2 linked regions of the Tribolium castaneum genome follow. The protein of the gene in region 2 purifies or fractionates together with the protein of the main gene of each other region. This does not show direct contact. Links are inferred from orthologs where the notes say so. Each region holds a gene or a part of one and is shown on either strand. Other genes may lie near its edges.

Region 1 (4,094 bases), on a different chromosome or scaffold from region 2:
CGGGCTACGCCACTGAATGCTCAATCTATAATTGCGGATAAATTTTGGATAATTAGTGAAATAACATAAAATTTCACTAAACTGACCAATATCGATTTTATAAAACTGTATGTTATTACTTGCAATAAAAATAATAGCCCCCAATTACGTGGCTTCCTTTTAACCGAAAACATTATCCTAACACGTTTTTTTAATATACCTCCCAATGATAATGACAAACGTTATGTGTGCCACATTACTGTTCTTCTTGGCACTACTTTACCCCTCTAAAACCATTTTTCAAAACGACTTTGTAAAAAACCATTTGAACAAATATCAATTATTTGGAAATTACACATCTTGCAGCTACTTTAATGTTAATTTACCAGACACGAGACACATTTCCGACGACTTCCTCAAGCGTAACTTATGTCCATCGCTCACCATAAGTGATTTTTTTACCGAAACAAGCATAATGTCCAAAACGCAAGCTGCTTTTATCTTTATCGAAGATCTGAACGAAATCGAAAGAGATATACAACGGATACAGAACTACACACTTTGGAATGTGAGAGGCGAGACACACCTCATAATTTGTAAACGAATTGATTCGGTTGCGTTTTTACAAAACTTTGTGAAAACTGTATGGAAAAACCACATACTTAATTTCGTTGTTGTTTTTGTGCAAGAGACGTTGCAAATTTTTACGTACAATCCATTTATTGATAGAATTTTGAATCTGACCCACACTCCCGGATATTTTCCGAACAAATTGCAAAATTTGCATGGTTACAACCTCAGAGTCGGTTTTTTCATAAACTTCCCTCTTGTAAACAAATCGGACAACAAGTGGATAGGGAGAGACTACAATGTTTTGGAAATGGTCACAGAAAAGCTAAACTCAACGTTCCAAATTATCGAACCACCTGAAAATACGCACTACCAAGGGTGTTACAACGATATTTTAAACGGGCTGACAGATTTTTGCTTCGTTAGTCATTTCAGAGGCCCTCATGCGTACGAAAACGCAGAATTTACGTACCCCCATGAAATCAATGGTTTGGCAATTTTGTTGCCGTTTAACGAAACGTCTAGTTCTGCCACTGTTATCCTGTTCGAGGTGATTCCCATGATACTTTTTTTAGTGGTAATTGTAACAGTTTCAATTACGTCACTATTGGGCGAAAGTAATTTCCGAAAATTGCTTCTTGTGACAGTGTTATACATTTATTCGAGTCTTTTGGGTTACCCCTTTCCCAACCTGAATAAGAAACGTTGCAGTGCAAAAATACAAATTTGTGTTTTTATTTTTGGCTCAATTATCTTCAGAACGGCATTTCAGTGTTTCCTGATTACTAATTTCATGACAGCAAATCCGAGTAATCAAATAAATTCGGTTGAGGAATTAGAGCAAAGCCAAATACAAATTTACATTTCGCATCCTTTGGCTAACCGAATTTCCGAAGAGGACAGTCTTCGCAAACGTTTTATTTATCTCGATAATAGGAAAAAAAGGACCGAGATGATCTACAATGATTTGAACACGTCTGGAGCTTATGGCTTGTCGTGGAGTTCGGCAAAAAGTATCGAACTTATGATGAGAAATGAACATAAGCGAACTGTCTTTTATGTAATGAGAGAAGTTTTAGTGCCGAGTCATAGTACGTATATTTTTAAGAAACATTCCCCTTATTTGGACAAAATCAGCGAGTGGTTGTTACGAGAACAGCAATACAAGGTGGTTAAGGACGTTCCAAAATATAATTATGATAGTTTTTCGTCTGATAATGAAAACGTTTTAAAATTCCATCACCTCAAACATGTTTTCTGGTTTCTGGCGACTGGTCTCGGAGTCAGTTTTCTAATATTTGTCACAGAAATACTGACTAAGGCTTTTTTTAACAACGTACATTTATATTTAGGCACTTATTGTAAAATATATAATGAATAAAATTAATTTAAAAGTGCTCTGACCTGCAAAATGTGTGCATAAATACATCCTTGTGGAAAAAAAATGTAAAAAAAGTTACGATGAAGTCATTGTTTCGTAAGGTCTTGATACAATGACTCCATAGTCCACACTTCCGTACATCTTTGAACATCTTTCTCTGGATAAAGTCTGCTTGTTAAAATAGACAAGTCTACATCTCCAATATTTCCAAAATTTGGTTGGCCTGTTTCAAACTGACTATCCAGTTCTTTATAAGTTGATTCTTTCACAGTTATGCTACACGAGAATAATCAAATTAAATAATTAACATTTTCCTACTGTTTTACTCACTTAGGGACCTTTACATCAGGCAAATTAAGTGGATCATCGGCAATATCATCAATGTCAGGTATTACTGGAATATCATCCTCAGAATCTTGTGGTTTTTCATTTTGAAAGCGTTCTCTAACGTTATTTAATAATAATTTTACCAAAATATTACTTCAAAGTGCACACTTACTGCTCAATTATATTTGATCCTTTCACCCTAAAAGTTTGTGAGCACTTCTCACTTGCGATTTCAATAAAACTTACTTTGCAGATTTTACGCCCTCATCAGCCCATCCCCCAGTTTTCCTAGTTCTTATAGGCACTTCTGGTGGCGTTTTTTTGGTTGAACTTTGTGGCTGATCTTCTGGACTTGCAGGAGCATTGCTTGCCCGCCGTCCGTGTTTAGTAGCAGACTAACCTATAGTTAAATAATCAGTTTTCAAAAACATAAAACTTACTTTCTTATTTGGAAGTAAGTCTATGTCTTCGTCCCAATTCATGCTAGATTTGTTTGTATTCAACAAAAATCAATTAATTTACAAGTTGGGTTAGAATAAACATTAAACAGCCACCATGATAACCAATGACACCAACATTAAAAACTAAAATGTCTCAATGTTAAAACTTTTATTGGGCGACTGCTTTTTTAGTCCAAATAAATAAGGTACAGTCAGGTACATTTCCTGTTTTATTTTTTATAAAATGTACATATCAATTCAATATCTTAATTTCCATTGTATACGAATAAAAAAAATAATCTTACTTAAATGTTAACAATACAAACAGTTCATAAATCATAATCATGCCTGTAACTTTAAAAGAAGCGAATATCTACAAGATCCCTAAAAGAACAAATGTCATTTTACAAATGTCATATTATTTTAGTCACTTGCTATCGATAAATTATTTAATAAATTATGCATATTATCTTAAAATTACAAAAAATAAAATGAAGCATTTTCATAGATACAAGTTGTTTCAGCGTTTTTATATACATACATACTCGTATAAGCCGTACCAAAGAATGACCGTTTTTACATCCTAGATCCTTACTGGAGTCTAGATATAATGGTTCATAAAAATTAGTTAAAGTTAATTATCAGAAAAAGGTGTAAAAACGGTATATCCTCTGTACGACTTTACCACTGCTAAAATAAATTCAGGAGTTTGCATTAAATTTTTTATATTGTACAGATGAACCATATAATTATTGCTACGATGAGACACACAACAAAAACTTACTGCAAACTTCCTATTGAAAACTTTAAAATCACAATTACTTTTAATTTTTTTAATTATTCAGACAGCCAACAAGGAAATTACATTAAGGATGGCCGTTCTACAACACCAAATTGAGAAATGTTAAAATCTTTACCAACCTTAACACAATGTCGCCAACAATGGATTTATCATAATTTTACACAGCCTTTGACTAAAATGTAACTCTGTTAAATATGAACATTACATATATAAGTTTATCTAAAAAAAAGTTTAAAACCATCTTTAAAAATGACAAAAATTTGTTTTCGTAATTACACATAGTATCAAACAAAGACAATGGCAAGTTAGAGAAGATAAAGAGTAAACGATACTTTCAAGCGTAATTTATCGTTTGTTAAAAAGTATATTCACCTGAAACAGTCAGAAAATGCATAAGCACCTTCAACGAGATTCTGTAATTATGTAACTGGACGGAAATAAATATGATATAATTATACTGCAAAACTGCATTTCAAGCTAAAAACTAACATACAAATCTGTTTTCCTTTCATCTAGTTCAAGTATTACTTAATTGAGTTTCTTTCACAAAACCAACACCTAAATAAATATCTCTTATAAAAACAATTGGAATTTT
Region 2 (4,350 bases):
GAAGTTTTCACGTGCTTGGCGTTCTGCAAATTGAACCAAACTCTGTGTGCGGGCACCAACATTGGCCGCATTTATTTCTGGACCAGGAACACAAACAATGGGGAAAATCCCGAGGATTGTTGGGAGTTGAATAACGTAAATACGGTCAGCGGAACCGTTAAACAATTAATGTGGGGTTCTGTTCAGTTAAGACTCCCGTTATTGAGCGTTAATTGCGTCACGTGTGTTTACATAATGAAGGAACAATCGATTTGTACGTGTTTTTCCGATGAGGTTTGGTGCACGCAAAAAACCGCCAGTCAGGTGCTTGTCGAAAGCGCCAAAAGCAACGTTTTGTTGACTTTGGAGACACAAATCACTGATATGTGTATCAATGACACGTTTGCAATTTTCACAAATGGGAGACGTGTTCTAGTTTATGAAATTTTCTGGGATGGGTCTGACTCGGAAAAGTTCGAACTCAATACGAACATTTCCAAGCAGACCGAAAGTTCGGCCGACTTTTCGATTAAACTAATCAGCACGTTTGCGTGTGACAATGAGAAGGTTTTACTCCACAAAAAAATGATCGTTGTTTTGACCGCGAAAGCGGTCACACTCCGACAATTAAACGGTTCGGTTATAACCACCATCGTGTCACCCTCACACGAGGGCGAACCGATCGGACTCGACGTCACGGGGAATTACCTCACGATTTTCACAATCGAAGGCTACATGAAAGTGTACGAACTGGGCGAGAATGAGGCGAAACTGTCGATTCCGGCCCGGAATTTGTACGACATGTGCCCGGACTTTGGCGAAATAATCCAGGCGAAAAGCAACTCAAGCGGCAATAAAATCGCCCTGACTTTAGCCGCGGCCAATCTAGTGCCCGATGGGCGCTTGTACGTCTGGGACGTGGAAAACGACAATTTGCTATCGTACGATTTCCACAAGTACGGTAACTTTGATTTGGAGCAAAGTCCGGACGAATTCAGCGTCGACGAACGAACCGAACAAAACGATTCGTCAAACGACGACGAAACCGTTGCGGTTTTCGACGAAATTTGCTCGAATCGCATCCCTTTGCACTTGTTTTGGGACGCTCATGACCCGCGATTATTAATCTGTGATGCGAAAAAAGTCAAGTTAGGCTTGGGTGAGAAAAAATTGAAACGGTCGCGGTCTGATACCAAAACTACGCTCAAGGATCAGGACCATATTATTATAACGATGTTTGTGTCGTCCGAACACGGGATTAAAATGCACGATATCAGGGGTGTGGAGGCTGAGAGTCGGTTACTGGCCTTGGCTACGCCCTATTTGGTGATTTTGGAGAAGTTGGTCATAGTTCGGGACGTTATGAGTGATTTTAACGGGCTTGAAAGTTGTAATAAGGAAACGCGCGATGCTGTTTTGAATTTTAGTTATAATTTGAGTCTTGGTAACATGGATGAGGCCTTTAAGGCGATTAAATTGGTGCAAAATCCGGGCGTTTGGGGTAGTTTAGCGAGGATGTGTGTCAAGACGAGGCGTTTGGATGTGGCTGGGGTTTGTCTGGGGCATATGGGCAATGCACGGGCTGCGATGGCACTCCGAGTGGCTGTGGCTGATTATTCGTTGCCACATGAGGCGAAGTTGGCCGTTTTGGCCGTACATTTGGGGATGCTTGTAAGTGAATCCGTGAAAAAACCCACAAAAAAATTCACATGGATCACGGACGTGACACAAATGAGGCTTTGAATTTTTATCGTTAAATATTTTTGTTAAAATTCTGTTAACTTAAAAGGCACTAATTCAAACTATTTTTTACAAATTTACTATTTGTTTACATATGACGGATGGGACAAAAAATCTTGTGTGTGAAAATAACTCTAAAAAAATTATTTATGTAGTGAAAATTAAAATTTCTTGGCGTTGTTTAACGACGTAAGAAATAAGAGCAACATGTATGTTTGTAATAACGGACGGGACAGCAAAATTTTTTCTTTGTGGGTTTTTTCTTGTGCGCGGTTTTTTTCCGGTAGTGGTTTTTTTACCAAATTTTTGAAGGACGAGGCCGAGCAATTGTACATCCAATGCCAGCGTTACGACCTTTTGAATAAATTGCTCCGAAGTCGGAATAAATTCGACGCTGCTCATGCCATTGCAGAATCGCAAGATCGCATCCATTTGAAAAACACTGACCACGCGTGGGGTAAAGCCCTTGAAGCCGTGGGGGATTTTAAAGAGGCGGCTGTTCGTTACGAAAAGGCCAACACTCATAAATTCGATGTTCCAAGAATGCTTTTAGATCAACCGCAACAACTTGAAACTTATATGGGAAAAACTAAAGACCCGTATGGAGAAGTTGGGGTTTGTTGTTAGTGTGATGATTTTTTGTTTTTTAGTGATTTGCTTAAGTGGTGGGGTCAGTATGTTGAGTCTCAAGGGGAGATGCAAGCCGCCTTGAAAATTTATAGTAGTGCAGGTGATGTTTATTCGCAAGTGAGGGTGCTTTGTTTTCTTGGGGAGGAAAGTAAAGCGGCTGAATTGGCAAGGTCGGGACGGGATAAGGCCGCCTTTTATCACATGGCTAGGTTTTACGAAACGACAGGGAATTTTGAAGAGGCTGTGAATTTTTTCACAAAGGCTAACGCCTACAGTAAGTTTAGAAATTTTCATTTTTTTTTATTTTCTCAATTACGGCAAAACTATTCGAAAAAGTGGAACTATTCTGATGTAAATCTACGTAAAACGATCCGGGGAATCGATTGGCATCGAGAAAATCGCGAAGTTAGCAATAGTTTTTAAGTTATGAATTTTTTCAACTTGGCGCATCCACCATTTTTCACGTTGGAATAAGTTCTTTTAAATAAATTCTGGAATAAGTCAGTGTTGGAACAATGGTGGTATAATACGTAAAATGAGCCGCTGAATTCAATGGAACAAACCGCATTGCTCTACGACTTTTAGTTTTTGAGTTATGAATTTTTTAATAATTAGCTCGGCGCATCCACCATTTTTCATTTCAAAATAACCTTTTAACTAAGTTCTTGAGCAGGCTAGTCTTGGATAAATGCCGGTATAATATGTAAAATGAGCCGCAGAATCCAATGGAACAAACCGTTTGGCTTTATGTCTTTTAGTTTTCGAGTTATGATTTTTTTTTTTGATATTTGGACAGAATAATTCTTTCCTAGGTAACGCGGTCCGACTTTGCAAAGAGAACCACATGAGCGACGAATTATGGAACATCGGCTCTGTTGCCGGAACTCGCGAAAAACTGGAATGTGCGCGCTATTTCGAGGAAATTGGGGCCCTTGACAAGTCGGTTATTTTATACCACAGGGCCGGAATGCTGCACAAGGCCCTCGACCTTGCATTTAAAGCCCAACAATACGACATTCTCCAACAAATCGCCACAGACTTGGACGCTGATAGTGACCCAGCTTTGGTGCAAAAATGCGCCGATTATTTTGTAACAAACGAACAGTTCGACAAAGCTGTTGATTTACTCGCAATTGCGAAAAAATACAAAGAGGCGATCACGATTTGTCTGACACATAACGTGCAACTGACTGAAGATTTAGCCGAAAAGTTAACACCTGAGAAAGACCAACTGGAGGAAGCGGACCGTGTTAATGTCTTGCAAACGTTGGCTGAAAGTTTAATGTTGCAAGGCAATTACCACTTGGCCACGAAAAAATTCACACAAGCCGGCGATAAGGTGAGAATAAAAAATTGTTGGTTGCCGTTTTAGAACTGTTTTAGATTCGGGCAATGAAAGCGTTGCTAAAAAGTGGCGATACCGACAAAATCATTTTTTTCGCGGGCGTTTCGCGCCAAAGAGAGATTTACATAATGGCAGCGAATTATTTACAATCGCTGGATTGGCAAAATAATCCCGAGATTTTACGCAACATTATTACGTTTTATTCGAAAGGCAAAGCTTTGGATCTTTTGGCCAATTTTTACGTGGCTTGTGCACAAGTCGAGATTGACGAATTTAAAAATTACGAAAAGGCGTTTGGGGCCTTGACTGAGGCGTCGCGGTGTTTGGCTAAAATAGGCAATCCCAGGGACTCAAGCCAACATCAGAGAGCGACCGAAATCGTCCAACAAAGACTCACAATGATTAAGCGGTTTGTTGATATTAGGAGATTATTTGATCGGGGGGATTACCAAGCCGGTAAAAATTTAACTAGGTTTTTGCCCAATTTTTGCGTTTTTTATCGTAGGCATTGCACAATGTCGCCAGTTGTTAATGACCGGAGGCAAGGAATTGGAAGAATCGGTTCGCAGGGGCGATATTTGTGCCCTAATGATACAGGAGTACATCAAAAGTGGGAATTTTACCGAAGCTAAACAATTACTAGGGGAATTGAAACA

Evidence for each region. Proteins that work in one complex are often made in the same cells at the same time.
Region 1: the proteins of rempA (region 2) and IFT43 purify together in Homo sapiens (affinity purification with mass spectrometry; 3 studies listed by BioGRID and IntAct, counting the BioPlex papers as one, with this or other methods). This does not show direct contact. The link is inferred for Tribolium castaneum from reciprocal best matches to the Homo sapiens genes IFT140 and IFT43.

The regions. Positions count from the first base shown.
Region 1 is NC_087394.1:35,543,833-35,547,926, reverse strand, and holds the start of IFT43 (intraflagellar transport protein 43 homolog), read right to left. Parts: upstream 2,844-4,094; 5' UTR 2,740-2,843; coding exon 2,698-2,739; intron 2,653-2,697; coding exon 2,504-2,652; intron 2,457-2,503; coding exon 2,430-2,456; intron 2,375-2,429; coding exon 2,261-2,374; intron 2,207-2,260; coding exon 2,017-2,206; 3' UTR 1,954-2,016; intron 1-1,953. UniProt on the Homo sapiens protein: As a component of IFT complex A (IFT-A), a complex required for retrograde ciliary transport and entry into cilia of G protein-coupled receptors (GPCRs), it is involved in ciliogenesis.
Region 2 is NC_087399.1:1,787,994-1,792,343, reverse strand, and holds part of rempA (intraflagellar transport protein 140 homolog), read left to right. Parts: coding exon 1-1,650; intron 1,651-2,031; coding exon 2,032-2,318; intron 2,319-2,369; coding exon 2,370-2,623; intron 2,624-3,161; coding exon 3,162-3,688; intron 3,689-3,732; coding exon 3,733-4,150; intron 4,151-4,199; coding exon 4,200-4,350. UniProt on the Homo sapiens protein: Component of the IFT complex A (IFT-A), a complex required for retrograde ciliary transport and entry into cilia of G protein-coupled receptors (GPCRs).